Macaca mulatta: one gene and its partners. The protein of the gene in region 2 interacts with the protein of the main gene of each other region in a biochemical or structural test. Links are inferred from orthologs where the notes say so. Each region holds a gene or a part of one and is shown on either strand. Other genes may lie near its edges. The genes, in order: MAPT, STUB1, ATXN3, HSP90AA1, NQO1, JOSD2 and UBE2W.

Region 1 (3,500 bases), on a different chromosome or scaffold from region 2:
TGTGAGCCACCGCGCCCAGCCTTAGAGTAGCAATTTCGAAACCAAGGTCCCACCAGGTGTCTGAGGGGCTGCTGCTATGAGAGCCTGTGGGGTGCTGAAAGGTACGGCCCCCAGCTCTCTTTTCCTCTTTGCCCAGAATTCTAACTATTTACACGGTGCTTCTGTGTCAGAGCTCATTTGAAGAAAGGTCTTTGAGGCTAAATAAACAAAAAACAAAAAACACCCCACATTTGCAAACCACAGCAGAGCAGCCTGGTTCTTTTCAAAGGTGGTTTCCTTACCTTGAGTTTCATCTCCTTTGCTCCAGAACTGCCAGTTCGGGGAGTGACAGAAGAGACGTATTTAGGAGAGGAAGGTGGCTCTGGGCACACGGCAGGGCTGGAGGGTTGGATCAGAGGGTCTGAGCTACCAGGAGTGGGGTGTTTGGGGCTAAGGCAAGGCCTATTTTTCAAGGTTTTAGCAGAGGAACGTGTGGATGTCTTAAACATAAACATAAATAAAATCAAAATAAAAGTCAGCACATGGAGGAGGAAAACAAACTGAAAAAAGGACAGTAACTAAAAATAAATAAGGCAGGTAATGGTTGAAAGCAGTGATCTCCAGGCTGTTTGAATCAGGTACCCTTAACATCCCATCTGATCAGTAAGAACAGGAAAGTGACCATCCTCCCCAGTCATACTTCTTATATGACCAACTTACTCAACTCACATCTGACAAAGCTTTTAGAAGAGGACATGACAAAGGAATGGAAGTTCTAGTATGTTCTTTCTCCAGCCTGTTAGATGTGATTGTGCCCCTGAATTTGGAGACCACTGGTGTAAGGGTGCTTCGTAAGTTGATGGAGATCATCAAGGTACATGAATCTTAGGATGTTACTCAAGAAAATGTCGCCAAGTGTGTCATGGGTCTGAAGGGCCTTACTTTCTACTCAATTCCAGGCAAGGGGCTTTTTTGCCTGCCCATTAACCCATGGCCTCTTCCACCACACTGATAGACTCAATCAGGAGTGTGCCCACCCCACGTTGGAAAGATTCTATCTTAGGTTATGCCCACCCCCACCACACATGTGCTTTCTGATTAAAGTCTCAAATCAAACTAATATTAACACTATTTGGTGAATCCTAATCTGGCCAATGTTAACTCTTTTTTTGTCATTGTTGGTTTTAGAGATAGGGTCTCCCTCTGTTGCCCTGGCTGGAGTGCAGTGGTGCCATCACGGCTCACTGCAGCCTCTACCTTTTGGGCTCAAGTGATCCTCCCACCTCTGCCTGGCCAATTAAATTTTCGTTTTAGAGATGGGGTCTTGCTATGTTGCCCAGGCTGGTCTAGAACTCTTGGGCTCGGGAGGTCCTCCCACCTTAGCCTCCCAAAGTGCTGGGATTACAGGCATGAGCCACTGTGCCAAGCCTCCAATGTTTTCTCTTTTTCAGTTTGCCAGTGTAAACAACACTGCTAACTTTTGAACCCATTCCACATGAGGAAGCAGCCAGAGACACGTGTCTGCATACCTGTCCCTGTGGAGGCGGCGGGGGGTGGGGGGACCTGGAACCGGGATGTGGGATAGATGGTGACTGACACCCACAGTTCATCCTACCCATGGGGGATTTTGATGGGTGGGCATGGCCCCAGAGGAGAAGGGGATGTTTGGAGGGGAAGAGGTAGCGCTCTCAGAAAACAAAGTGGGGAGGCTAAGCCTCAAAGTGTTTCCGAGAGCGAGTCAGCTCAGAGAAGGGTCCTGACCCAGACTTCATTGGGCTTCTTGGGGATGTTATCTTATTGCTTTCCAACTCCCCATGGAAGCGGCCGAGACCCTCTGTGTGGCCAGGCTTGGTAAGGAGAACCCAGGAGATGAAGCAGTAGTGGGAGAGGAGGGACACAGGCTGGGGCCCTGGGGCTGATGACAAGAAAGCAAAGCTGGGGTGGGGGTATTGATGACCCCTCCTTCCTCGCTGCACATGGCCCCTCTCCACCAGCAGCACTCCCCACCTGGCCGAGGTCCACGGTAATAGATCTTTCCCCTCCCTAGAATCTAGGCAACTCCAGGGCAGGGATGTCGTACCCATGTGTGCTGCATGAATGAATGAACGAATGCATGCATGCATGAGGCTGGTATTCCCTGACCCCTGCCCCCGGCACTAAATGTGCACCATGATTGACAAGCAGCTGTCACTATCACTTCAGGGACCCAAAGGGCAGCTCTCCAAATTCCCGCAGGCCCTTCCGCTGCCTCACTAGGTGAGGCTGGGGAGCCCTGACTCTGCAGGCACTTCCGGGAGCAGCCCCCAACACACCAACACACCACCGAATGCTCAGAGCTATGTGGCAACTGGAGATGCCCTCTGGGCTCCAGGACTGATTAAAATTCAGCTGTTTCAGACAGAATTTATGCTGGAAATTTTAGATACCTTTAAGAAAAATAGGTCTTATCTAGAGCCATGGTGGGATTTTCCAGGAAAAACGCCACTGTGCAATTACGGGAGCATTTTCCCAGACACCAAGTCATTGAGGGAGTAAACGATGGGTGAAGTGAAATACTGAGAAGGATGGGCAAAGATCAGGGTGCAGTTTATGCAGTGAGCAGATGGCTTCATTTACTGTCCTGGGGTTGGTTTTCAAACACAACTTCATTTACTGTCCTGGGGTTGGTTTTCAAACACACCTTCATTTACTGTCAGGGTCTCACTGAAACTACACTAAGAAGGCTGGAATTAGCAGCATGACTTCATGAACCTGCCAACTTCTCTTCCCTGGGGTAAGTATCAAAACTAATAAATGCTGGACTTTTAAAAAGCCTGCCCCAAAATACAAAGCACTTTAAATGACAGCTGTGCTTTAGTGACAAATGCTCCCCACATTATATATGAGAATGAATCAGACATAAAGCACAGCTTCTCTGTAAACTGGACCAGCTGCAGAGTTCCGTGGCATCGTCAGCTTACCTTGGCTTTTTTGTCATCGCTTCCAGTCCCGTCTTTGCTTTTACTGACCATGCGAGCTGATAAAATATAAAATAAGAATGCTTGTCACACTCCATTTTCACTGTTCACAGAAACAGCCAGCTGTGGTGAAGTTGCATTTCTCTGGGATAGGTCCGTGTTTTGTTTAGTTGGGTCTGGTGGAAACCAGTTGGTTCTCTTCTCCCTTGAATGTGCTAGGTCTCACATTGTTAGTATCAGCATAGCACACTGGGGTCACTGATTAGAGCAACCTGGCAAGAGGGGGCAGCAGGCTGGCTGAGGGTGGGACCATGCAGAAGGGACGCAGCAGAAACTGTCACAGGGACATGATGACACGGAGGCTATCTAAGGAAGGTGCAGTCTCCCTAACCCACAGGCTCCTGCCCTGTTTCTGCCAGGGTCAGCCTCACCCCACTGGGACCAGCCCCACTCCACGGACAGGTGTTTTAAAAGCCTCAGGGCCATGGATATTGGTAGCTCAGTGAGGACCCAGCCTCCTGCAAGATCCAAGGACGGGGGTGGGTGAGTTGTCTCCACACTGCA
Region 2 (4,167 bases):
GCAGCGAGGAGAAGCAGCCAGACACCCCATCAGGACAAGCTCTGGCTCCGACTCCTGGTCCTAGAGACACACAAGGGCCCAGACTGTCTGCTTCACAGACAAGGACGCTTATGTACCCAAGTCGTGCCCACCCAACTCACCTGAGGCTGTGACTGTGGTGGGTCCACACCGCAGAGGGCAGACAGCTGGGTGACCGCGGCGCCCACATCTGGCAGGAGGCAGAAGGTGGTGGTCGAACAGTGCACAGCCAGCTCAGGGGGATTGGTGGTCACCAGCTGCTGTGAGAAGCCAGGTCAGGGTGCCCGGGGTGGTGGACCCACAGGGAGGCCCCGCCCCCACGAAGACCCGCTCTGGAGGCCCCGCCCCGCCGATGCCACGCCCCGGTGAAGACCCGCCCTACGGAGGCCCCGCCCTCGAGGCGGGCCGCCCCTCGCCGCCAGCTTCCAGGCCAGCAGCCGCTCCAGCTCCCTGTCACATGCTCTCCGCTCTGCCCCTGATGGCCGCTGGCAACTCCTCCCGATACCTGGGGAAGGGCGGTGAGGGGAGGTCCGGCCACAGGGGGCGCTCGCCCACCGATCCCTTTATCCCCTTCCACTCTACCAACGGCCCAGGGCTTCCAGCCGCACTCGGGGGTCCGCGCGCGCCCGTAGGACCTCTCGATGGCGCTCCGGAATGGCGGCCCAGCGACTGGGGTCCTTACACCCAACAGCGCGGGAAGCCACTATGTTCACGCGGAGGGGCGGGGCCGGCTGCCGGGGGCGGGGCTTCTGGGTAGGGGCTGGCTGCTGGGGGCGGGGCCTCTGGGTGGGGCGGCCTGTTGGGGGCGGGGCGTCTGCCGATGGGGCGGGCTGCTGGGGGCGGGGCTGGCTGCCGGGGGAAGGGCCTCTGGATGGGGCCCGCTGCTTGGGGAGGGGTCTCTGCGCGTTGCGGCGGGGGCGGAACGCCAGGTGGTCGGGACAGGCTGTTGGGGGAGTGCGCCCTCAGCGAACCAAGGCATCTCACTGGGAAAGTCGAATGTGTGTGGCGGTCGCCGCCGAGGCCGGTTCCGAAGAGGCCTCAGCAGGGCGGGCCAGGGCCTCCGCGAACGCCGACCCTTAAGAGCGCCGAGCGAGGGAACCGGAGTGTTCCTCCCAGCCCCCGACGCCGCGGGCCTAGCGTCCCCGTCCAGGCTGATTGGGCGCACGCGCGGCCCCACTCGCCCCCACCCGTGCGTCCCCGCTGGTCCCGCCCCCGGCCGGAAGTTCCGGCGGTGGAGCTGGGCCGGGCCCGAGAGGATCGCGGGTTCGGGCTGCGGGGCTCGGGCTGCAGGCGCTGGGCCGCCAGGCGCGGAGCTTGGGAGCGCAGCCCAGGCCGTGCCGCGCGGCGCCATGAAGGGCAAGGAGGAGAAGGAGGGCGGCGCGCGGCTGGGCGCTGGCGGCGGAAGCCCCGAGAAGAGCCCGAGTGCGCAGGAGCTCAAGGAGCAGGGCAACCGTCTGTTCGTGGGCCGAAAGTACCCGGAGGCGGCGGCCTGCTACGGCCGCGCGATCGTGAGTGCGCTCGCGCGGGAAGGGCGGCGGCGGCGGCGGCGGCGGCGCCGGGGAGGGCCGGGCCCGTGCCCGGCTGGCCCCACCGAGGGTCTGGTTCCTCTGCGGGGCATGTCCTGGGCTCCTAAAGCCCAGCCGTGGTTCCCGAGCCCAGCGCCGGGTGTCGGAGAACGAGGGTGGGATGCTGGATGGAGGCCGGCCGGGTCGGGGGGAGGGCAGGGGCCCTCGCCCCTTGAGGATCCCAGGTCCAAAGCCTGGACTCTCCAAAGATTTGGAAAACTTTACAAAACCAAGTGGAGTCAAGCGGATAGGCTCAGCCAGTACTCCACTGTCTGCAGATCCTTGGATCCAGGGGCTTTGACGACTGAGAAGCCTAGTTTCTTGATTCTAGCCAGAGCGCAGAAGCTGGGACGGGCCGTGGGACAGAGGGGGCGCGCTGAGCCTACACCCTCATGCGGCTGGCCCGGCCTTGGTCCCTAGACCCGGAACCCGCTGGTGGCCGTATATTACACCAACCGTGCCCTGTGCTACCTGAAGATGCAGCAGCACGAGCAGGCCCTGGCCGACTGCCGGCGCGCCCTGGAACTGGACGGGCAGTCTGTGAAGGCGCACTTCTTCCTGGGGCAGTGCCAGCTGGAGATGGAGAGCTATGATGAGGCCATCGCCAATCTGCAGCGAGGTTGGCTGACAAGCTGCCCGGTTGTGGGGCCCCTGGGGCCAGGCGGGTGGACTGGCCAGAGAGTGACCTGAAGCCCCCGTTCCCCAGCTTACAGCCTGGCCAAGGAGCAGCGGCTGAACTTCGGGGACGACATCCCCAGCGCTCTTCGAATCGCGAAGAAGAAGCGCTGGAATAGCATCGAGGAGCGGCGCATCCACCAGGAGAGCGAGCTGCACTCCTACCTCTCCAGGCTCATTGCCGCGGAGCGTGAGAGGTGGGACCCTCACCCCAGGTCGCCCTGTCTTGGGATAATTCTGAATCACCAACTACCAACATGAGCGTTTATTGAAGGTTTCACTGGCGAGCAGAAAACGTGGGGAAGAAGCATGAATGTTAGCCCTGAGGTTGGGGTGTGGTCAGACATCTGGCCAGGTCCATCTCTTACTGGCTCCTGGTCAACCCCCAGGGAGCTGGAAGAGTGCCAGCGGAACCACGAGGGTGATGAGGACGACAGCCACGTCCGGGCCCAGCAGGCCTGCATTGAGGCTAAGCATGTGAGGGTGCCCCCCTCCCACATGTGGGTCTGTGTGTGTGCACCTGGCGTGGGAGCATCCCCGCCTTGTGTTGGGTCTGTGCCCCATGGAGGAGGGAGGTGGGGTGTCCCGCACAAGTGCAGTGCTCAACTCTTCACAGGACAAGTACATGGCAGACATGGACGAGCTCTTCTCTCAGGTGGACGAGAAGAGGAAGGTGAGTGTCTGTCACTTGCTGCGGTGGGTGGCAGGTGCTGGAGCAGTGCCCCTTCCCAGCCTCTGATCGTGTGCCCCTGTGCCACAGAAGCGTGACATCCCCGACTACCTGTGTGGTAAGATCAGCTTTGAGCTGATGCGGGAGCCGTGCATCACGCCCAGTGGCATCACCTACGACCGCAAGGACATCGAGGAGCACCTGCAGGTGAGGCTGCGGCTGGGGGAGCAGGGCCAGCAGCATGGTCCTGGGCCCACTGACTGCCCTCTGCCCTTCTTGTCACTGCAGCGCGTGGGTCATTTTGACCCCGTGACCCGGAGCCCCCTGACCCAGGAACAGCTCATCCCCAACCTGGCCATGAAGGAAGTCATTGACGCATTCATCTCTGAGAATGGCTGGGTGGAGGACTACTGAGATGCCTTGCCCTGCCCAGCATCCTGGTCCAGGAGAGCCCTGGGCGGAAGCCCTCCACCCCTGTACATAGTTTGTGTTGCTGGCCACCCTGGCCCCTTCCAAGTTCAAGTTCTGCTGTTGGGCTCTGGACTATTCCCCCTCTCAGCATAGCTCTTGCTGGGCCGTGATTGTCCTCCTTTGTGGGCTGGAAAAGCAGGTGAGGGTGGGCTGGGCTGAAGCCACTGCCGCCACTGTCTGTGTAATAAAATCCATGAGCACGAGATGGGACGTGCTGGTGTGTGGCAGGCATGCCTGCCAGCTGCTTTGGCTAGCCGAGGAAGGTGGAGATGAAGACGCTGGTGTCAAGGTTGAGTGTGGCATGCCACCAGCGGTCAGGGAAGTACAGCACCTGGTGGAGAAAAGGGGTGCAGCACAGATTAGCTGGGGGCCTCTGGCCTGGCCTGGCCCTCTCCTGCCAGCCACTGACCTCACCAGCCCGGATGGTACACTCCAGGGGCCGTGCAGACGGTGGCAGGGCTGGATATGTGTCCCGGAGCCAGGCCAGCGTGGTCTTGTTGGGGTGGAACTCTGGTGTCTTCTCAGGTGGGTAGAGGAACCAGCGCTGGGGGCAGGAGCAGCAGCGTCACCCTTGCCTGTTTTGGTCACCGAGCCCCAAAGCTCAACCCCAACCCTGTGCTGACCTTACGGCCGTAGATCACCTCCGAGTACCCGGGCCCATGCCAGTGGAAGGGCACCCCCGAGCCAGCTCCTGTGGGGTTATGAGCACCTGGTGACCAAGCCATTTTGTACCCACCCTCAGAAACCTCACTCCTCCCCAGTCCTGAG
Region 3 (4,001 bases), on a different chromosome or scaffold from region 2:
ACTGCACTCCAGCCTGGGGGACAGAGAGAGGTCCATCTCAAAAAAAAAAAAAAAAAAAAAAAAAAGTACACCTTAATCTGGTTTCAAGGTGCAAGATCTGCACCTATCCTTCCATTCAAGCTTCATCAAACCGCTGCTACCTCCCCGTCTCCCACACAATTTATGAGACTTCTAAGTTCCCTCTAAAGGGTCCGAACACCTACAGTGGTAACAAGTCACTTGGATTTGAATCCTGGCAAGGCAACTTACCATCTGACCTTGGACATTGTGCTGTTCTTAACCTCTCCGTGCCTCGGTTTCCTCATGTGTATGAATAGCATCAACACCTACATCAAAGTTTGCTGTATTAAATTTGATAATATATGCAAAGCATTTAGAAAAGGGCCTAGCTCATAGAAAGCCTTATATAAATATTAACTATCACTTTTTTCCTTTTTTGGGGGCTTGGGGACGGAGTTTCGCTTTTGTTGTCCAGGCTAGAGTGCAATGGCACCATCTCGGCTCACTGCAACCTCCGCCTCCCGGGTTCAAGCTATTCTCCTGCCTCAGCCTCCCAAGTACCTGGGATTAGAGGTATGCGCCACCACGCCCAGCTAATTTTGCATTTTTAGTAGAGACGGGGTTTCTCCATGTTGGTCAGGCTGATCTCAAACTCTCGACCTCAGTTGATTCGCCCGCCTCGGCCTCCCAAAGTGCTGGGATTACAGGCATGAGGTACCGCGTCCGGCCTAGCTATCATTTTTATACAAGTGCTAGGTTTTGGGAGAATGTAATGATGGCTTTTTCTTACTAAATTTTCAGTGGAGGAGGAGGAGAAAGAAAGTAAATAGTTATATGAACACAGTAGAAAGTACAAAGTGGAAAACAAAAAGAGTATCGAACCCAGGTGAGTGGTCCAAACCTCCCCCCAGAAACCTAAGAACCCATAGAAATGGGTGGGAAGCGGAGAAGATCCTCCAGACAGCAGGTGGCGATGTAGCATCCCCCAGAAGGCCCTCTAACAGAAACTAGGAGGACGCGCTACCAAGGTCACGTGTCCCCGGCGTTCACTCGCTCTTCGCTTCACGTGACTCGCATCCTCGCGGGTGATTGGCCTGCGTGCGGCGCGTGGGCGGGGGACCAGGGCGGGGCGGGGTGGGCGGAGGGGAGGGACAGGGGGCGGAGCTGGAGGGGGTGGTTCGGTGTGGGGGCCGTTGGCTCCAGACAAATAAACATGGAGTCCATCTTCCACGAGAAAGTGAGTGTCCGCGTGCGGTGGGGAGCTGTCTGCCGCGCGGTGGCGGGCGTGGAGCGCGGCATCACAGCCTCCCGGAGGGCTGGGTGGGGTCCGAGTCGCCCCCATGCCGATCTCGCCGGGCGAGGGGCGACGCCGCAACCCCCCGCCTCTTCGGCTCGGGGAGGGGAGCATCACCTACGCTCCTACTTCCCCCGCGGCCCCCGCCCTGGGAGCCGGGAGGGAGTATGGGCGGGGCCGGGGGCGTCTCGGGACACGGGAGCGCGGTGGCGCCCAGTGGATTTGCTTCTTCCTTTCTAAGTCACTTTCCATAGCTTTTCGGAGGATTCCTTCACCCCTCCCCAATCCTTCCCTCTCCCTAGGGTCTAGCTACAGTCACCTCTGGGACACCTCCCTCGACCCCTCCTACCCTACTCCTGGCAGAATTAACTTTTCTTTCTCCAGACTGCTCAATTCTATATTGGAGTCTTCCCTACATTTAGATCTTTGAGGTCTTGTTCATGTTTTTTCCCCTGCACCAGGTCCGCGAGCCTCCCGAGGGAGGAGACCTTGGCTCGCCCACTGTAGGGCCTGACACTTAGGAAGTGAAGTAGGAAACCCGTTGTGCCCCTAAACAGGGAAGTCGTCACGAGTTTTTATTACGGGATGTTTGGGTTTGGTTTCTTTTGGTACTCTCATCTTTCCGGAGCAGGCAGCCAGCTTTGTTTTTAGGTATTAGGAGTGGACTGGAATGATTTTGTTGTGGTCTGCCTAGCCTGCTGTCACTTTAACTCTTCAGTGACCATGCACTTGAAGATACTGTTTGTGACATGTGGAGAAACTCCTCGTTTCTCACATGCTATTATCCATCCATTTGTATGTGAGTGAAGCCTTCCCCAGGACAACTTTGGCACATGATATCTTGTTTCGTAATAGTATCATGTTTGGAAAGAGTTGCTGGTAAGGCTATTATTTAATAGGAGGAGCAAAGGGTTTTTGTTTTATTAAATGCTTATAAATGATCGTTTATCCCAGACATTTAAAATTCACACACACGGCCGGACGCGGTGGCTCACGCCTGTAATCCCAGCACTTTGGGAGGCCGAGGCGGGCGGATCACAAGGTCAGGAGATCGAGACCATGGTGAAACCCCGTCTCTACTAAAAAAAATACAAAAAATGAGCCGGGCGCGGTGGCGGGCGCCTGTAGTTCCAGCTACTCGGGAGGCTGAGGCAGGAGAATGGCGTGAACCCGGGAGGCGGAGCTTGCAGTGAGCCAGGATAGCGCCACTGCACTCCAGCTTGGGCGACAGAGCGAGACTCCGTCTCAAAAAAAATAAAATAAAATAAAATAAAATAAAATAAAATTCACACACACACAACAAATAAAGCAAAGACAAAAGAATACATTTACCAGATGTAAATCTGTAGTATAAATCTTTTTTTTAATTTTTATTTTAAAGATGGCATCTCATTCTGTCACCCAGGCAGGTGTGCAGTGGAGAGATCATGGCTCACTGCAGCCTTGACTCCCTAGGCACAAGCGATCCTCCCTCCTCCGCCTCCAGAGTAGCTGGGACTACAGGTGTATATCGCCAGGGCCAGCTAATGTTTTTGGAGAGACAGGGGTCTCGCTGTGTTGCCCAGGCTGGTCTAGAACTCCTGGACTCAGGTGATTCTCCCACCTCAGCCTCTCGAAGTGCTGTGATTACAGGCGTGAGCCACTGTGCCTGGAACAAATTGTTAAGTACAATGCTTTTCATTGTAGAAAACATCTCAGAAACTTTTGAAATAGGCAGATTTACAGTGGGGGAGGAAGGCCTCAGTCATATAGTTGTCACTGATTTTTTGACTTGATTGACATGATTTATAAATCATAGACAATAGAGATTTAGTTGCTTGGCTGAGTAAAGTGTGTGAAAAATACACATGTACTTTCTTAAAAACATTTTTTTTTTGAGATCGAGTTTTGCTCTTGTCACCCAGGCTAGAGTGCAATGGCGCGATCCTGGCTCACTGCAACCTCTGCCTCCCTGTTCAAGCTATTCTCCTGCCTCAGTCTCGCTAGTAGCTGAGATTACAGGTGCCCACCACCACGCCCAGCTAATTTTTGTATTTTTAGTAGAGACAGGGTTTCACCCTGTTGGCCAGGCTGGTCTCCAACTCCTGACCTCAGGCGATCCACTCGCCTCGGCCTCCCAAAGTGCTGGGATTACAGGCGTGAGCCACTGCACCCGGCCATATTTTTGTTATTAATTTTCAAAGGCTTTGGTGTGGGACCAGATTTCAACATGGAAGGCCTTAAACATGTTCCACACTACTTCCTGAGAATCAGACAAGATTTTTAACAATATTGATTGTTACCTAGTTGGGACGCATTTCTACTGAACCATGGGATCAATAAAAGCTGGGTGCTAGCCTAGCGAAAATCTACTTACCCGAAAGAAGTCCCTCTTAGTCCGGGTGCGGTGGCTCACACCAGCGCTTTGGGAGGCCCAGGTGGGTGGATCACAAGGTCAGGAGTTTGAGACCAGCCTGGCCAACATGGTGAAACCACGTCTCTACTAAAAATACAAAAAATTAGCCAGGTGTGGTGGCAGGTGCCTGTAATCCCAGGTACTCAGGAGGCTGAGGCAGGAGAATAGCTTGAACCCAAGAGGCAGAGGTTGCAGTGAGCTGAGACTGCACCACTTCACTCCAGCCTGGGCAACAAAGCGAGACTCTGTCTAAAAAAAGAAAAGAAAAGAAAAAAAAAAGAGTCCCTCTGAATTATCAGCATGTGTATAGGC
Region 4 (4,209 bases), on a different chromosome or scaffold from region 2:
AGTCTGAAAACCCCTGCTCCTGAGTAAGTTGGTTTCCCTAGAGACCAGGAAGCGGAGGTAGTTCCGTCGTTTGTTTACACGGTAAGGAGCTTCCAGATTATTCCGAGGACCTGGCTATGAGTTTAGGCAGGAGGAGGCCCAATCATGGGAGGCGCCAGAGAGGAAGAGGACATGGACGAGGCATGGGAGCCAAGTCTAAGGAACCCCAACACCTCTAAGGTTCTCATAGCTGGCCTTGACCAAAATATCTGAAAATTCTCATGTAGAAACTGGTTCTTCCAGCCTGAGCAACATGGTGAAACCCCAACTATACAAATAAATACAAAAACTAGCCGGGTGTGGTGTCCGCGCTTGTGGTCCTCCGCCCGCGCTCGTCCCAGTTACTCGGAAAGCTGAAGTAGGAGGATCACCTGAGCCCGGGAGGTCGAAGCTGCGGTGAGCCAAGATTGTGCCACAGCACCCCAGCCTGGGCGACAGAGGGACAGCCTGTCCAAAAACAAAAAAACACCAAACCTGTCTTTTAGGGAAGGTTAATCACCAAAATGTCAAGTGTTAGATACTTAATTTGGAGACCTCAAATCGATCGGCAAAACGATGGGCTTTTAAAAAGCATGCCGGGTGTAGCTGGGTAAGCATGAATTTATTCACCAAGGGCCCGATTCCCAAGCTAAGGGACCCTGAAGTGTGAAGGACATGGCTTCCGGGGAACCCAAAGGTAGGGAGCGCTCCTGAGCCAGCAGTGGGTCTGGAGACTCCCCGAGCGCGCAGGCCGCGGGACGGCGTCCCCTGCGCGCAGCAGCTAGAAGCCAACAGCCCAAAGGCCCCCAGGGAGCAGAGCCCCGCGATCCCGGCGCCGCCTGCGGCTGGATTTTTTGGCAGCGGGCGCGCCGTCCGTGAGGATGACGGCTCCGGTAGTCTCCCGGGCGTGCGAGACCCGGGGCGCTCCCCGTCCACGCACGGCCCTCCCTCCAGGCGCGCCTCCCGCCCCAGCCCCGCATTCTGCGCAGCCCGGGTGACCAAACTACACCTCACTTCAAAGGCCCCCACGCCCGGGCGTGCCCTCCGCCCGCGCTCGGCAGGTGGGAGTGCAGGGAGGAGGGCGCGGGCGGCCCCAGAAGGCGCCCGGACCTTCCCGAGAATTCCAGGCCGCGCAGGCGCATTGAGGTCGGCGCGGGGGCGTGCGAGAGGCGCGGGGCGGTGATTGAGGGAAGGTTTCCCGGGCTGGGCCATGAGCAGGGCCTGCGCGCGCCAGCGGGAGGGGCGGGCCACGGCGAGGGCGCAGGCGCAGGCGCGCGGCCGCGGCGGCGGTTGGGGAGGGTTCTTCCGGAAGGTTCGGGAGGCTTCTGGAAAAAGCGCCGCGCGCTGGGCGGGCCCGTCGCTATATAAGGCAGGCGCGGGGGCGGCGCGTCAGTTGCTTCAGCGTCTTGGTGCTGCTGTGCCGTGGAACGTTTGCAGCCTTTTAGCCAAGGTGTGAGGGGCGGTTGTGGGGGCCTGTGGAGGTGGATTGGGGAGTGGGGGCGGTTGGCGCGGAGCGGAGGCTGTGGGGGCCGAACGGGAGCCCTGAACCCGCCAGGGCCGCTCTCCCGGGAGGCCGCGCTGCCTATTCCGGAGGCCGTGGGCCCGCTGCTGTCTCCGCAGCCCGCCTCAGGAATGGGCTGGGCGGCTGCTCCCCGAGTCTCCGCGGCAGCCCCGGAGCTGGCGCCGCACGCGAGCAGAGCGGCCCTTTGGCTGGGGGCCCCCCGGGCGGCCCAGCTGGGGCGCAGGCGGAGGAGGCCGCCCTGGCGGAGCCGCGGCCCGCGCGGGAGGGCACACGGGGTGTCGGTTGGGGACCGCGGCGCGGGACTGGGCCGGGCCTGCAGTGGCCTCCCGGAAGCGCGCACACGCTCGTGGTAGTTACCGCGCTCCGAAATGAGGTCATCCTTTGTCAGCCGCCCTTCTATTTTCGGTTTACTTAAACTTCGCAAATCTGCAATCCGGCTTTAAAAATATTGGGAGGACGCGATGGAATCTCGTGTTGCCCCTGTAGACGCCCTGCAGGGTTTTAAACCGGCGCGGTGTCGTTCCAGATGCCTGAGGAAACGCAGACCCAGGACCAACCGATGGAGGAGGAGGAGGTTGAGACGTTCGCCTTTCAGGCAGAAATTGCCCAGTTGATGTCATTGATTATCAATACTTTTTATTCGAACAAAGAGATCTTTCTAAGAGAGCTAATTTCAAATTCATCAGATGTAAGTCGTTTATTAACCCAGAATAGGATTTTGGTTTCAATATGAACTTCTTGGGGGCTGTATGCTTAATTAATATTTTGTGTTAATAGGCATTGGACAAAATCCGCTATGAGAGCTTGACGGATCCCAGTAAATTAGACTCTGGGAAAGAGCTGCATATTAACCTGATACCAAATAAACAAGATCGAACCCTCACTATTGTGGATACTGGAATTGGGATGACCAAGGCTGACTTGATCAATAACCTTGGTACTATCGCCAAGTCTGGGACCAAAGCGTTCATGGAAGCTTTGCAGGCTGGTGCAGATATCTCCATGATTGGCCAGTTCGGTGTTGGTTTTTATTCTGCTTATTTGGTTGCTGAGAAAGTAACTGTGATCACCAAACATAACGATGATGAGCAGTACGCCTGGGAGTCCTCAGCAGGGGGATCATTTACAGTGAGGACAGACACAGGTAGGTACCTGAACACTCACTGGTTAAGTCAGTGGCGGAATGGTGGGGTGTTGCAACCCTTGGACCCCTGGGGATGCGGCGAAGTTCACAGAAAGTGTGTTTACCCAAGGATCAGGAACAAGCTAGAGCTCTGAATTAGTGTGTAATGGCATGACTTGGTGATTACTTCTTTTGGGCAAGGCACTTAGATCTGCTGTGGGAGCCTTTGCATCTGTAGTAAGGGCAAACCTCGCTTCATAGACACGTTATAAGGGTTAAGCATGGCGTTGAGCACTAAATTGAATGTATTATTGAGTCAATTTTCCTTATTTCTCTTGCAGGTGAACCTATGGGTCGTGGAACAAAGGTTATCCTACACCTGAAAGAAGACCAAACTGAGTACTTGGAGGAACGAAGAATAAAGGAGATTGTGAAGAAACATTCTCAGTTTATTGGATATCCCATTACTCTTTTTGTAAGTTTCTACATAATTGCAGAGTGAATTACTGTCTGTAGGTGACTGGGGTGACTGTACTACATCCTTAGTTCCTAGGTCTGTTGAACTAGTTTGAAGCCTGGGGAACCTAAGCTCTACTAACTGTGAAGGTTCCTCGGGTTATTAAGTAGATATATCAAATATTGATGAGAAGCTGCCTGGCTGCTTCTCATCCTCGGTAATTTAGGCTTTGGCCTTAGGTTGAAAGTAGTGGGGCAGCGCTATGACTTAGTTCTAGAGTGCAGCAGTGATGCGATTTCATGTCTTTTGAAGGTGGAGAAGGAACGTGATAAAGAAGTCAGCGATGATGAGGCTGAAGAAAAAGAAGACAAAGAAGAAGAAAAAGAAAAAGAAGAGAAAGAGTCTGAAGACAAACCTGAAATTGAAGATGTTGGTTCTGATGAGGAAGAAGAAGAAAAGAAGGATGGTGACAAGAAGAAGAAAAAGAAGATTAAGGAGAAGTACATCGATCAAGAAGAACTCAACAAAACAAAGCCCATCTGGACCAGAAATCCCGACGATATTACTAATGAGGAGTATGGAGAATTCTACAAGAGCTTGACCAATGACTGGGAAGATCACTTGGCAGTGAAGGTGAGTGAGGGACTGATGGATGCTTCAAGCTTGTCTTTAGATTATCATCCCACCACCCCAAATATCTGCTATAATGCATTGTTCATTGATACTTAGTGTGTTTGTTCTATTACAGCATTTTTCAGTTGAAGGGCAGTTGGAATTCAGAGCCCTTCTATTTGTCCCACGACGTGCTCCTTTTGACCTGTTTGAAAACAGAAAGAAAAAGAACAACATCAAATTGTATGTACGCAGAGTTTTCATCATGGATAACTGTGAGGAGCTAATCCCTGAATATCTGAGTAAGTATAGATAGGAAAAATAATCACTGTCACTGATTAAAGAAATACTTCTGGCTGGGCATGGTGGCTCACACCTGTAATCCTAGCAGTTTGGGAACCCGGGGTGTGCGGATCACTTGAGGTCAGGAGTTCAAGACAAGCCTGGCCAACATGGTGAAACTCCATCTCTCCTGAA
Region 5 (4,277 bases), about 63 Mb from region 2:
CTTGCGGCTACCTTACTTGGGCAGCACAGATAGGAAAAGTTCTATTGGACAGGGCTGCCTAGCCCTTTTTTAAAAGGTCCTTTTATACTATTTTGTCAGATGGGGTCTCACTTTGTTGCTCAGGCTTATTGCAAACTCCTGGGCTCAAGTGATCCTCCTGCCTAGGCCTCCCAAAATAATTCGTAAATACACAGTCCTCTCTTGTTGCATCAAAATGAATGCAAAAATGTCATGATGGGGCCCGGCGCGGTGGCTCATGCCTGTAATCCCAGCACTTTGGGAGGCTGAGCTGCTAGGATCACCTAAAGTCGGGAGTTGGACACCAGTATTCTGGTACCTCCTTAACTTTTGCACTGGAGGGACAATGGAAGGGCCCTGTGTCATCCTCACCTTCCCCATCTGTAATTCTTGTGATGGTTCATTACCACTTTAAAGCTCTAGTTCTTTTTCCTTCATTGACATCTTTAACTTTTTCTTTATAGAGATTTTTTTTTGGAGACGGAGTCTCGCTTTGTCACCCAGGTGGGAGTGCAGTGGCTCGATCTCGATCCACTGCAACCTCCGCCTCCTGGGTTCAAGCGATTCTCCCGCCTCTGCCTCCCGAGTAGCTGGGACTACAGGCGCCCGCCATCATGCCCGGCTAATTTTTGTATTTTTAGTACAGACAGGGTTTCCCCAGGTTGGCCAGGCTGGTCTCGAACTCATGACCTCAGGTGATCCGCCCACCTCAGCCTCCCAAAGTGCTGGGATTATAGGCATGAGCCACCGCGCCTGGCTCCGTTTTGGCTCTTCTTTAATATGCCTCCCTATAACTGCTATCTCCACACCAGCCTTGCTTTAGCTCATGGGAAACAAAACCAATTAGTTCCCCCATTACCTGCCTTGAGGAGCAGGGGTGGTGCAGCGGCATGCACCCAGGGAAGTGTGTTGTATGGGCCCCCAAGTGCAGAATCTGAATCTTGCAAAGGAAGAAACAAATTCATCTCCACGGAACATGTCTCCCCAGTGCTCTCAGCCTTCCAAATCCACAGTCACAGTGACTCAGCAGAATCTGAGCCTGGGGCACCACAGTAATCTGCATCCGGCTTTTTTTCTGCTCCACTTCGTGCCAAGGCTCAAAGGGCAGGCCCACTCGATCCCTGGACTCTCTTGGGAACAACTTCCACCCTGCATCCCCTTGCACCTCAGGGCACAGTGCGCAGATGGGCTTGCCTTAGCCCCTCCAGCCAGATTTTTGAGGCCTCTGTCACACACCCCCACGAACCCCTCTTCCAGCCCCCAGAGACTTTTCTTGACTTCCACCAGTTGCTCAGGCGGGGCGGGTGGGAGTGGAGGGGCTCCTCCTTCACCCCCCAGGCTCCCTCCCTTCCTGGAGCTGCAGCCTTGGCATCCTCTAGCCCAGCACCTCAGGATACAGGCGTTGGGTCCCGCCCTTGTTGACGTCCAACTCCAATGAGCCGCGCAGGATATATGAGAGAGACTGCACCGCGCACCACACACACGACTCCTGCAAGGTTGCCGCTGGAGTCGCCCGGCCCAGTGAGAGCCTAGTCCCGGCCAGGGTCGCCCCGGCAAGCACGAGTCCAGCCAATCAGCGCCCTGGACTGCACCAGCGCCATGGTCGGTGAGTGCTGGAAAGGGCGAGGCGCTTGGTCTCCGGAGTCCTGGTGCCTGTGGAGGAGGTTGTATGGGTTTGGCCCTGAGTTTTGTTCCTTGAGTCAAAACCCACAAAGGGAAGAGATTAGGGTCCTGGGATGAGCCTTGATGGGACTCCGGGAGAAGGAGAGCTTCTGTTTGTATCCGGAGTTGTGGATCCTTCCTCACTCCACCCCCACGAACTCCAGTGGGCATTTAGGAGAAACCTGACCTTGGACGCAGGAATTCCCTCCAAAACTGGGGTCAGAAACTGGCCGCTGGAGGCCAAATCAGGCTTACGGTCACAGCCCATACCTCTTTCGGGCTATAGTATTTAAACCAATTTGAATTAAGTTGCAAACATTAAAATGGGTGATTTCACTTAAAAATGTGGATTCCGAGCTTCTGAAGAAAATGAGAATATCTGGTGATTGGTGGACAGGAGTGGAGGAAACCGATACCTTTAGTCTGACAGAGACCAGAACCGGCTCCAAGCTGCCAGGCTCAGGTTTTGTTGTTTTGTTTTGTATTGTTTTGTTTTGTTTGAGACTGAGCTTTGCTCTTGTCGCCCAGGCTGGAGTGCAATGGTGCTATCTCAGCTCACCGCAACTTCCGCCTCTCGGGTTCAAGCGATTCTCCCATCTCAGCCTCCCGAGTAGCTGGGATTACAGGAGTGCGCCACCATGCATAGCTAGTTTTAATATTTTTAGTAGAGACGGGGTTTCGCCATGTTGGCCAGCGTGGTCTCAAACTCCCGACCTCAGGTGATCCGCCCACCTCGTCCTCCCCAAGTGCTGGGATTACTGACGTGAGCAGCCGTGCCTGGCCTTGGGAGGTATTTTCCATTGAGGCCCTTGGATTAGGCAAACCTGATCAGGTCGTTCTGGATCCATTTCTAGTATTGGGTCCATTTCAGTGATAGAGCCTCCCCACTCGGCCATCAACCCTAGGGGAACTTAGAGGTTAACCCAGCTCCACCCAAGGCATAAATAACCAGCTGAGACAACTGCAGGGACTGAGAGCTATTTCCCAAATAATCTCACTCTGAGACTGGACAGCGCTAAGATTTAGAAAGCTGTTGCCTCATCTGGGGCACAGTCCTGCGTTTTGTAATTTCTTTCCCTGTGAACCTGGTCCTGCCTCTAAAAATGCACCTGCACACACAGAAGCCCATCTTGGTCAAAGTGAGTGGAGGAAGAGATTGCCCTTGCAATTGACCGACTGAAATTATCAGAATCTCTGAGAAAGGGACTAAGCAGGGGATTGGTAGCCCAGAATGAGTTGCTGGCAGAGACAGCAGGGAATAGATTCTTACAGCTGAGAGGCTTGCCGCATACACGGTGGTTGCTATTTCCTTTGTATTTCTTTCTTAAGCTCCCCGAGGCACAGGCACCCTCTCCTCCAATACTAGGGCAGGAACTGTTTCCTGACTTTCCACTCTTACAGAATGTTCTGTATTTATGCGTAGCTTAAACACAAAAAAGAGAGCTGGTAATGAGGGAAAAAAGGAAGACTTGGATCTTGTATCATTAGTTTTAGCTGTACCCGGCTAACCAAATCTTGAGGTTCACTAAAGCATCCAGGTTTTTTGTTTGCAACTAATAGATGTGTCTGATTCGCACTCATGTTCCCTGGAGCACTCAAGTGAAGAGAGAAGGCAGAAGGAGAATGCATGAAACTGATACAAAGTCTTACCTTTAACATACTTCTTTTTTTCTTTTTGAGACAGGGTCTTGCTCTGCTGCCCAGGCTGGAGTGCAGTGGCATGATCAGGGCTCACTTCAGCCTTGACCTCCTGGGCTCAAGTGATAGTCCCATCTTTGCCCCCTGAGTAGCTGGGACTACAGGTGTGTGCCACCACACTCAGCTAATTTTTTTGGTCAAAGCAGAACTTGAAACCTGGCTAAAAAATATTGTTTTTGGCTGGGTGTGGTGGCTCATACCTGTAACCCCAGCACTTTTGGGAGGCTGAGGCAGGAGGACTGCTTGAGGCCAGGAGTTCAAGACCAAGATTCAGTTCAAATGGCAAGCTCCTCTGAGGGCCTTTCCTAACGGGCCAGCCCCGAAGTCCTGAAGTTTTCCTCTGTGGAAGTTTTTTTTGAGACAGAGTCTCACTCTGTTGTCCAGACTGTAGTGCAGTGGTGTGCACTTCCCAGGTTCAAGCGATTCTTGTGCTGCAGCCTCCCCAGTAGCTAGGATTACAGGTGCACGCCACCATGCCCAGCTAATTTTTGTATATTTAGTAGAGACGGGGGTTTCACCATGTTGGTCAGGCTGGTCTCTAGCTCCTGACCTCAAGTGATCCACCCGCCTCGGCCTCCCAAAGTGCTGCGGTTACAGGCATGAGCCACCGCGCCCAGCCCTCTGTTGAACTTTGTCCCTTACCTCTCCTAACACACTAATGCCACTCTACCCTGAAGAGGTTATCTGTGTGTGCATCCTGTGGCCTCTCTCAGGGTAAACTCTAGTAGTGTAACTCCTCCCAGGTCATGTTGCTCAGCTAGTTAAGTGGCAGGAAGGGAAAATGAACCCTCCAGGCCCAGAAAACTTCTTTTCTGTTAATTGCCTATTCACAACCATCTGTCTGTTTGTTTGTTTGAGACAGAGGCTTGCTCTGCTGCCCAGGCTGGAGTGCAGTGGTG
Region 6 (4,159 bases), on a different chromosome or scaffold from region 2:
ATCTGGGGCACAAATCCTGCGCCATGCCAATCTCCTGGTAAGCCCCACCCAAACCATTCACACAGAGCCCTACCCCTTGTGTCTTGGTCTCACCCCACCCTAAAGTGGATATCCTTCCCTGACCTCAACCCTCTCCTCCTTCATCCACCCCAGGTGGGGTCCCCCTCAGCTCTAAGTGACCAGACCACAGAGCGGCAGCTCTTGGAGGCCTCACAGCACTGGAACCATGCCGTGTTTGTGGCCCGAGGGGCCCTGTGGGGTACCGAGGACATCACGAGATTGGATGCAGCTGGGGGCCTCCGGGTGAGGGCCTGCTGGGCTCCCCAGGAACCAGGGGAGGCCTGCAAAGACCCCACTCCCCCTAACCCGGGCTCTTGCTTCCAGAGCCTTCGTGTCACCATGGCCACACACCCCGATGGCTTCCGGCTCGAGGGACCCCTGGCTGCAGCCCACAGCACCGGGCCTCGCACTGTGCTCTACGAAGGCCCTGTCCGTGGGCTCTGCCCCTTTGCCCCCCAAAATTCCAACACCATGGCGGCGGCTGCCCTGGCTGCCCCCAGCCTGGGCTTCGATGGGGTGACTGGTGTGCTTGTGGCTGATCTCAGGTGAGCAGAGTGAGCAGGGTGTTGGGCTGAGTCCAGGCTAACCACACTGACCGCCCCACTTGTCCCAGCCTCACGGACATGCACGTGGTGGATGTAGAGCTGAGCGGACACCCGGGCCCCAGGGGCCGAAGCTTTGCTGTGCACACCCACAGAGAGAACCCTGCCGAGCCAGGCGCGGTAACCGGCTCCGCCACCGTCACGGCCTTCTGGCGGAGCCTCCTGGGTGCGGCCAGGCCCCTCTCCCCCGGCCCTGGGCTCCTGTGTTCTGCAGAGCTTGGGGATCCCGGGCTCTCGCTAGTTCTGCAGCTCTGGTTATGTATTTGTTGACCTTTATTTCTGACCTTTATTTCCTTAACCTCTGTCCACGACTTTGAATCCTGGCACCGTAGATGTCTCCATCTCTGTCCGCGTCCCCTCTCTGAGTCTCTGTGCCCGCCTCTGATGAGGACTCTCTCTGTCTGTCTGTGTCCACCCCCAGGGCTCTGTCCCGCTCTCTCTGGGTCTTCCTCCACCGCCCCCAAGGCCTGTCCCCTCCTCCCACCATTGCCTCCCCCAGGTGTCTGTCTCCTCATCTCTCCTCTGTCTCACTCGCTCATTCCCCTCTCCCCGCAGTCTGCTGCCAGCTCCCCTCCAGGCCGGGGATCCATCTCTGCTGAGAAGCCTCCTCCCTCCCGAGACGAGATCATCTTACTGGCCTCTCACTACCACTATCCCACCCCTGCCTTGCCCCACTTCCCCAGGATCTCCCTTCTGACTCAGTAAAGATCATCGCTGTCTCCCCCTGCACCGCCTGGCGTCCCTGGTCCCTGTTTCCCTTGTGTGACGTCACGCTGCGTCTGCGCACCGCGCATGACGCCATCGCAGGGGGCGACCTCCCACGAGAGCGCGGCGCCGGGAAGCTATCGCGAGAGCGTACGCACTATATTTCCTAGAAGCTCTGAGCGGTAGTGGGCGCGGCCGTACGCGAAGGAAGGGCATCTGAGGCACACTTCCGGGACTTGTTGCGGAGCCCGACGGAAGTTGTAGTGCAGCATTTTCTAGGCCCGACGGCGGACTTCAAGGCCGCGCGGCCCGGGCGTTAGGTGGGGAGGAGGGGTCCCGCGGGGCCCCACGGGAGTCGTAGTCCGGCGCGCAGGGATCACCGGGAGCTGTAGTCCGTCCCGCCTGCCCAGTCAGCGCGGTGCTGCCCGCCCCGCACTCGGAGCACAGAGCCGCAACCCAGGAAGGGGATGCGGAAGCCCTTGGCTCGGTGGAGCGGAGAGGCAGGCGGGGTGAGGGGCGTTGCCAGGCAAAGGGCGAGCGCCGTGGTTGGGGTGCGGGTCGGTGAAGGGCTCCATTCCTTGGTGTCCGGGGAAGGGGCCTGGTTGCCGGGTATAGGAAAAGGAACTCCTGTTGCTTAGTGACTGGGGAGGGGGCCCCGTTGCCAGGTGACAAGAGCAGAGAGCCTCGCTGCTTCATGACCGGGGAAGGGTAGTCTTCTGTTGCTAGGAGACCGGAGGGGACCCTATCACCTAGAGACAGGGGAGGAAGACTCTCTTATTGCTAGGTGCTCGGAGGACAGACTTTGTTACCGAGTGCCGTGGGGAAGGGGCTCTGTTGCTAGGTAACCACAGAGCGCCCGGTTACCTAGGGACAGGGGAGGCGGGTTCCTCTGTTGCTAGGTGACCATGATAGGCACCCTTTTACTTAGAGACCTGGTGGGGGTGGTTCTCTGTTGCTAGGGGAGCAGAGGAGACAGCCTTTTTCGTAGGAATAGGAAGAGGGGATGGAGGGACGTGTACTGTCAGGAGACCCAGGGAGCGGGGTCAGGGGCCCAGTGCCCTCCCGGGCTGCCCGGAGCCCCAGCTCAATCAATGGCGATGCCCCAAAGGCCTGCTGGGAGGTTGGACCTCTAGATCCCGGGCCCCTGAGGACCTTCTTCCCCTCCCAATCCCCAGCAGGAGCCGAGGACGGCATGTCCCAGGCCCCGGGAGCACAGCCGAGCCCACCCTCTGTGTACCACGAACGGCAGCGCCTGGAGCTATGTGCCGTCCACGCCCTCAACAACGTTCTGCAGCAGCAGCTCTTTAGCCAGGAGGCTGCCGATGAGATCTGCAAGAGGTGACCGTCACCCACCCCGGCCCCTGGAGCAGCAGGGCTCCGGCAGAGCGACCCACCTGGGTCTCGCCACCAAGCAGGCGCTGAGCCTGGGGGCTTTCTTCTGTCCCCAGCTCACTTGCCTAAGCCAGACGCTGGGACTCTGGGGAGATGTTGCCTCCTGTGCCTGCCTGTCCTTGTGGCCTCAGCCCCAGCCAGGCCCCAATCCGGTGGTCCTTTCTTTCTTTAGAGACAACGTCTGGCTATGCTGCTCGGGCTGGTCTTGAACTCCTGAGCTTGTGATCCTCACACCTCAGCCTCCCCAGTAGCTGGGATTACAGGCTCACTCAGTTTCAGGCATCTCTTATCTGGGCCCTGTCACAGCTCTCCAGTCCATCCTAAACACACCCCCACCCTACTCAGGGCCCTCCTGATAGCGGAGGCCGAGCCTGCCTCTGCAGCTTCAGCCCTCACAGCCCCCCTCAAACCAGACTCTCCACTCCCGTGAGCCCTCCTGTGCAGCCTCTGGGCTTCCAGGTACTTCTTTCTGCCTGGTGTGGCTTCCTTCTCTGCCAGCATGGAATGTTCCTCTTCACTATTCACGATGTCCAACCTCGCTCCTTGGCCGGGCGCAGTGGCTCACGTCTGTAATCCCAACACTTTGGGAGGCCGAGGCAGGTGGATCACTTGAAGTCAGGAGTTCCAGACCAGCCTGGCCAACAGGGCAAAACCCCGTCTCTACTAAAAAATAAAAAAAAATTAGCTGGGCATGGTGGCACACGTCTGTAGTCCCAGCTACTCTGGAGGCTGAGGTGGGAGAACTGCTTGAACCTGGGAGATGGAGGTTTCAGTGAGCCAGGCAACAGAGCCAGACTCTGTCTCAAACAAACAAACAAACAAAAATCCATCCTTTATCATCTCTTACTCCCTCCTCTCTGTCCCCACGTCCCTGGCCCCAGCTCAGGCCTGATCCTCTCCTGCCCAACCTGCCCGTGGCCTCCAGTCTGTCCCTGCCTTCAGTGCCCACTGATCCTAGAGAGTCTTCTACACCTGGAGGTGGGCTGCCTCTTCTGTCTCTTGCTGAAAGCCGCCTCTGGCTCCTGGACATCCTGAGAGTCCCAGCCCCTCAGACTGATCATTATGGTATTTATTCATCCCTCGATCGTTCAGAACAAGGACCCACCAGCTCTTTCATACCAAAGCCATGTTGGAGACCCTGAGATGACTCAGACTCAAGTGCCAGCCTGAGGGTGGCGAGGGAAACACACACACACACAAGCCTTTTCCTCCCATGCCCTGCCTGCCCAGGGCCCAGATAGGGAGCAGAGGTGCAGCTGTTCAGAGGCAGGGCCCAGAGACAAGTGGTGGCAGGCGGAAGAGCCTTCCTGGGCAGGGGAAGAGCTGGAGGAAAGGTTGGCAGGGGTGGGGCGGGGGGTGGTGGGCACCGGGGATGTGGCTGGGGCCAGGGGGCCAGGAAG
Region 7 (4,300 bases), on a different chromosome or scaffold from region 2:
ATATGCTTCTGGTTGATTCCGGTTTACCAAGAGCATCCAAACATCCCTCAAGGACACAGTCATTTTGCACAACAAAGGGAAACTCCGCTCATTTCTGGCATTAGGGTGGACATCTGAGAGAGGGGAGGGTATACCACCGTAACTTCTCTAGTGATGAGTAGTGTTTAATATTATGCCATAGACTAACTGGCGTATTTTAAAGATCTTTTTCCTTTTTGAACACATTTCAGATTAGAGAAGTTCCAGAGAACGTAATCTATTTTAAGAGTGTGAAACAGTGATATTCTGCATTGCTTTTATATCTTAAAGAAATTTCTAAAAAGAAAGCCGAGTCAATAAAATGACAGATTTTAAGCCTTCATTCTGGTAACATAAAAGCCTTCTACTCATTGTGTCTGCCACCTTAATTTTTAAAGATAGAGCATGAGGTGCAAGCTTTTGGCTTCCATTTTCCTCTTATAAACCAATGACATCTTCAGTTCCAGAATAGCTTTTTTAAAACGTGACTTCTGATAAATGTTGGCAGAACTGGTGCATTCCTAAAATAAATTATGTATGCTCAGCTTTCCCTACCCAAGTTCATCCCTAACTGACCACAAAACTGCCCACCACGAAATAGGCTTAAGAGAAGTCTGGACATAATGGTCTAAGTGTATATAACACAACACTGGTATATTTTTAAAAATTCAGTATATTTTAAAAAATTCATGCCTAGGGTCAATTCTGATAATCAAATTTAGACTGCCGCAACAACCGTAACTACTGTTGATACATGCGAAGTTTAAAACTGAAGGGCTGGGGTAAGGGGCAGAAACTGTACACAACAAACTTCCAAATTTTCTCTCCCCTTTCAGGCAAGTTTCAGCTCCACAAATCTAAATACCCTCGCCTTTAAAATATCAGTGTCGTTTTGCTCTTTAATCCTCATCCTGTTGTACAAGGAAACCTATGTCTCTCTTCCCCAGATTAAGAATACAAGAAGCTTTCCAGGTCTACAAGGACCAGAAAGCAGCTGCGCGGGAAGTTTCATGGGGCCCCAAGGCTCTCAGAGTGGGCTTGACGGTATGGAAAACACATCCCAAGAGAAAAATCTGTGAACCGCACAGCTGTGTTTGGAAAACCAAAACGAAATAGAAAAAAATCTGAGCTGATCCGGACGGCATCAGGATTACGCGGTACACAAGAAGAAAACAACCGTAGCCGGGTCAAAACTGGAGCCGTGTCTCCTCAGTAACCAGAGTAAACGGAAGACCGACGCGGGAGCGGCGAACCGGACTGAGACCGAAGGTACTCGGAGCGCCATTTACCACGTCCTCGCCCCGCCCCCTAGCCCCTCCTCCCGTCCGCCCTGCGCGCCAGCCAATCCCCTCGCGCCATCACCTTCCCATCGTAGGCCCCGCCTCCGCGCCCGGGATGTTGAGCCCCCGCGGCGTGACGCGAGCACGGCAGCTCCTCCCCCTGCGTCTCTGGCCTCGCCGGTCTTGGGGGGATGGTTCCATCATGGCGTCAATGCAGGTGAGAGGAGTTTGCTGCATCTGGGCGGGCCAGGGAGCCGCCGAGAGAGTGCCAGCGTTCGGGCGGGGGTGGCGTCCGCGATTCGGGGACACCCGGGCGGGTTCGGGATCGGCCCGGGTGGCTTGTTTTCCTTCAGCTCAGGGCGTCGGGGGAGGGGTAAGAGGCGGCGAGAGGCGTTGGGGGGGTGCGGTATCCGTCGGTCGAAGCGGACACCAGCCGGCCGGGAAGTTGGGTGATAAAGGAGGCTTGGGGGAGAAAGGGCGAAGTCTGGTGTTGGCAGCCTCAGAATCGGCTCCCCGCGCACACACACACACACACACGGCCACTGCCAGTCTGCTGCCCGCCAGTCCCAGGGTTGCCTTTACCCCCGCTGTCCCTGGCCCGACGGAAACAGCTGCGCCCGCGGTTGTTGCCGGGGCAGGGGCGGCGAGGGGCTGAGTGTGGGGGAGCCGAGAAGGCGTCTCCGGAGAAGGCGACTGGCTGCGGACGGCGCTTAGCGGCCTCTGCTCCGGCCTCCCACGCCGGGCCCCCCAGACTGCTTGGCCCCGTCTCTCTCTTCTTCCCTTTGACTCTTAATCCTGTGCCCGTGGGTATCCGCTCTTTCCATCAGCCTCGGCATTCTCGCGGACATTACTTCAGCAGTCCAGTGTCTCCTCCTCTCGAAGCTGCCCCGAGTCCACTGCCTGATGGGCGATCTCCCGAGAGCCAAGTCCTCAGCCCCCTGAAACCTTTCGGGATAGCTCGCCCTTTATTTTGTTTCCCCCTACAAGGCCCCACCCTTGCGGTCGCGATAAGGCTATACATCTCTTTGCCCTTATTCGCAGACCTTTAGTGGAACCTTAGTTTGGTAGGAGGCGTTTGTTAACCTGTGCCACATCCACCCGACTTAGCAAGGCGTGGTTTTCTGGCTTTCCAACTTAATTTACTCCTTTTTCCCGAATTCAGGGAGTTGCGGGTTTTTTGTGTTTTTGTTTTCAGGCAAAGATGGCAACCACAATTGTAGTTTTGTAGAGATTGGCTGCGTTATCTATAGCCTGCATTTAATTCATAGGTGAAGACTAGCGGTATCAAAGACATTGGAAGAGAAAGTAGAACACTCAATAGGAGTGTCAGCTGAATACTCTTTAGCGTTTTAATAATATCCCCTTGGGTAAAGAGACCACGTTTTCTTAGAAGTGTTTTTTGCTTTTGTTTCTGAAAGAAGCAAGTCTCTGTTCCTCCTCCATTTTTTTTTCTTTTCTCTGCTAAAAGTGTTTTTCTTCCCTTTTCTGCAACTTCTTCCTCTTTTGTACAAATATATCTTTGCTTCACATTTACTCCTGTGCTTTTATGTTATTCCCCTTTCAACCTGTTTTCCTTACAATATTCTCTTTACTTTTGCTTCTCCCTCTGGACTTGCCTGCAGAACAGAAAAGTTTTATGTAACATTTCTAGTTGAAGAGATGTCACGAATGGTGCAGGGAAAAAAACAGGAACAATTTCAGGAAACATTATACTTTACACTAGTCCCCCAGAGACGTTAGAGAAGTTTCGTCATTTGAGGCCAAGAAAAGGAACTGTGGAATGCTAGTTGAACAGTAGATGCAATAGGCTACATGACCACTTAAAGATTTTTATCTGTGTTAAGATTAAAACATTTTTTATGACAAGTTTAAGATTATCTGTATTAAGATTAAAACATTATTTGAGAGTAAAAATTAAGATTAAAATCCACAACACTCGTGATAATATTTGACAAGAGAACGTAGTGTGCCATCTGGTTAGATTTAGTATCTGGAAAAGGCAGATTTGTTTGTAAGAGAAAGGTTGGTAATGTTGAACTTTACATGGTGTCTTTTTTTTTTTTTTTTTTTTTTTTTTTTTGAGACGGAGTTTAGCTCTTGTTGTCCAGGCTGGAGTGCAGTGGGGGCGATCTCGGCTCACCGCAGCCTCCGCCTCCCGGGTTCAAGTGATTCTCCTGCCTCAGCCTCCCGAGTGGCTGGGATTACAGGCATTGGCCATCACGCCCAGCTAATTTTGTATTTTTAGTAGAGACAGGAGTTTCTCCATGTTGGTCAAGCTGGACTTGAACCCCCGACCTCAGGTGATCCGCCCACTTCAGCCTCCCAAAGTGCTGGGATTACAGGTGTGAGCCACCGTGCCCGGCCTACATGATGTCTTAAGCAATGGAAACAAATACTTGATTGATAGTGCAATAGTGCATTTTTCTGTGCCCTAAGTATTACCTCAGACTGTCTTACCACTCTTTGAAGTTTTTCCTTCACCTTATTCCATCTAAATCTTATCACTCTCTATTCTTCTGTGTTTTCTGGTTAGAGGAATGGAAAATGGATGCTTAACTCTTTTTATTAAAGTAAAAAGTCTTTTCCTTTTGTTTGTATTTTAAAATATCTAGTGCAGATTTTCTGGTAGTATCTTTAAGAATATTTAAATATGTATAAGTCAGGCTTTTTGAAAGACAGCCCTACTTTCTGTGTGGTTATTCTGTATCTTTGTTGTACAGAATTTATATCCTATCTTAATGGCAACATCTGGCTCTTTTAAGACAACTAGATTATACATAAATCTTCAATCAAATTATCAAATTTGTTTAATCACTGAGCCAGTTACCTTTTGGGGGCCCTCTGTGTGTCAGACACTTATCTAGGTGCCGCGGTTATAGCAATGAACAAAAGCGAACAAGATTTTTGCCCTCATGGATTTAATAATAAATAGTCTGGTAAGAAGAGACAGATAATAACAGCATATTTAAGTTAATTGTTTTTTGTTTTTTGTGTTGAGATGG

Evidence for each region.
Region 1: of the proteins of STUB1 (region 2) and MAPT, one has a biochemical effect on the other in vitro, tested with the Homo sapiens proteins (11 studies listed by BioGRID, with this or other methods). The link is inferred for Macaca mulatta from reciprocal best matches to the Homo sapiens genes STUB1 and MAPT.
Region 3: of the proteins of STUB1 (region 2) and ATXN3, one has a biochemical effect on the other in vitro, tested with the Homo sapiens proteins (6 studies listed by BioGRID, with this or other methods). The link is inferred for Macaca mulatta from reciprocal best matches to the Homo sapiens genes STUB1 and ATXN3.
Region 4: the proteins of STUB1 (region 2) and HSP90AA1 form a complex in vitro, tested with the Homo sapiens proteins (14 studies listed by BioGRID and IntAct, with this or other methods). The link is inferred for Macaca mulatta from reciprocal best matches to the Homo sapiens genes STUB1 and HSP90AA1.
Region 5: of the proteins of STUB1 (region 2) and NQO1, one has a biochemical effect on the other in vitro, tested with the Homo sapiens proteins (2 studies listed by BioGRID). The link is inferred for Macaca mulatta from reciprocal best matches to the Homo sapiens genes STUB1 and NQO1.
Region 6: the proteins of STUB1 (region 2) and JOSD2 form a complex in vitro, tested with the Homo sapiens proteins (2 studies listed by BioGRID, with this or other methods). The link is inferred for Macaca mulatta from reciprocal best matches to the Homo sapiens genes STUB1 and JOSD2.
Region 7: the proteins of STUB1 (region 2) and UBE2W form a complex in vitro, tested with the Homo sapiens proteins (7 studies listed by BioGRID, with this or other methods). The link is inferred for Macaca mulatta from reciprocal best matches to the Homo sapiens genes STUB1 and UBE2W.

What each region holds. Positions count from the first base shown.
Region 1 is NC_133421.1:70,887,857-70,891,356, reverse strand, and holds part of MAPT (microtubule-associated protein tau), read right to left. Parts: intron 2,996-3,500; coding exon 2,940-2,995; intron 480-2,939; coding exon 282-479; intron 1-281. UniProt on the Homo sapiens protein: Promotes microtubule assembly and stability, and might be involved in the establishment and maintenance of neuronal polarity.
Region 2 is NC_133425.1:1,895,195-1,899,361, forward strand, and holds the start of STUB1 (E3 ubiquitin-protein ligase CHIP), read left to right. Parts: upstream 1-1,367; coding exon 1,368-1,526; intron 1,527-1,914; exon of another isoform or gene 1,915-2,003; coding exon 2,004-2,202; intron 2,203-2,289; coding exon 2,290-2,455; intron 2,456-2,647; coding exon 2,648-2,735; intron 2,736-2,874; coding exon 2,875-2,931; intron 2,932-3,018; coding exon 3,019-3,135; coding exon of another isoform or gene 3,136-3,216; coding exon 3,217-3,342; 3' UTR 3,343-3,649; coding exon of another isoform or gene 3,650-3,730; intron 3,731-3,805; 3' UTR 3,806-3,808; coding exon of another isoform or gene 3,809-3,943; intron 3,944-4,022; coding exon of another isoform or gene 4,023-4,090; intron 4,091-4,167. Other genes in the region: uncharacterized protein LOC106994901, read right to left, coding at 1-60, 141-275, 524-721, 837-961, 1,003-1,369. UniProt on the Homo sapiens protein: E3 ubiquitin-protein ligase which targets misfolded chaperone substrates towards proteasomal degradation.
Region 3 is NC_133412.1:165,351,482-165,355,482, reverse strand, and holds the start of ATXN3 (ataxin-3), read left to right. Parts: upstream 1-1,201; 5' UTR 1,202-1,213; coding exon 1,214-1,237; intron 1,238-4,001. UniProt on the Homo sapiens protein: Deubiquitinating enzyme involved in protein homeostasis maintenance, transcription, cytoskeleton regulation, myogenesis and degradation of misfolded chaperone substrates.
Region 4 is NC_133412.1:175,437,709-175,441,917, reverse strand, and holds the start of HSP90AA1 (heat shock protein HSP 90-alpha), read left to right. Parts: upstream 1-1,409; 5' UTR 1,410-1,468; intron 1,469-2,066; coding exon 2,067-2,228; intron 2,229-2,317; coding exon 2,318-2,684; intron 2,685-3,004; coding exon 3,005-3,138; intron 3,139-3,432; coding exon 3,433-3,753; intron 3,754-3,868; coding exon 3,869-4,034; intron 4,035-4,209. UniProt on the Homo sapiens protein: Molecular chaperone that promotes the maturation, structural maintenance and proper regulation of specific target proteins involved for instance in cell cycle control and signal transduction.
Region 5 is NC_133425.1:65,348,621-65,352,897, reverse strand, and holds the start of NQO1 (NAD(P)H dehydrogenase [quinone] 1), read left to right. Parts: upstream 1-1,477; 5' UTR 1,478-1,617; coding exon 1,618-1,624; intron 1,625-4,277. UniProt on the Homo sapiens protein: Flavin-containing quinone reductase that catalyzes two-electron reduction of quinones to hydroquinones using either NADH or NADPH as electron donors.
Region 6 is NC_133424.1:62,898,753-62,902,911, reverse strand, and holds the start of JOSD2 (josephin-2), read left to right. Parts: upstream 1-1,359; 5' UTR 1,360-1,517; intron 1,518-1,556; exon of another isoform or gene 1,557-1,687; intron 1,688-1,801; exon of another isoform or gene 1,802-1,924; intron 1,925-2,542; 5' UTR 2,543-2,559; coding exon 2,560-2,705; intron 2,706-4,159. Other genes in the region: ASPDH (aspartate dehydrogenase domain-containing protein), read left to right, coding at 1-37, 154-303, 385-605, 674-828, 1,218-1,261. UniProt on the Homo sapiens protein: Cleaves 'Lys-63'-linked poly-ubiquitin chains, and with lesser efficiency 'Lys-48'-linked poly-ubiquitin chains (in vitro). May act as a deubiquitinating enzyme.
Region 7 is NC_133413.1:84,450,388-84,454,687, reverse strand, and holds the start of UBE2W (ubiquitin-conjugating enzyme E2 W), read left to right. Parts: upstream 1-1,500; coding exon 1,501-1,515; exon of another isoform or gene 1,516-2,785; intron 2,786-4,300. UniProt on the Homo sapiens protein: Accepts ubiquitin from the E1 complex and catalyzes its covalent attachment to other proteins.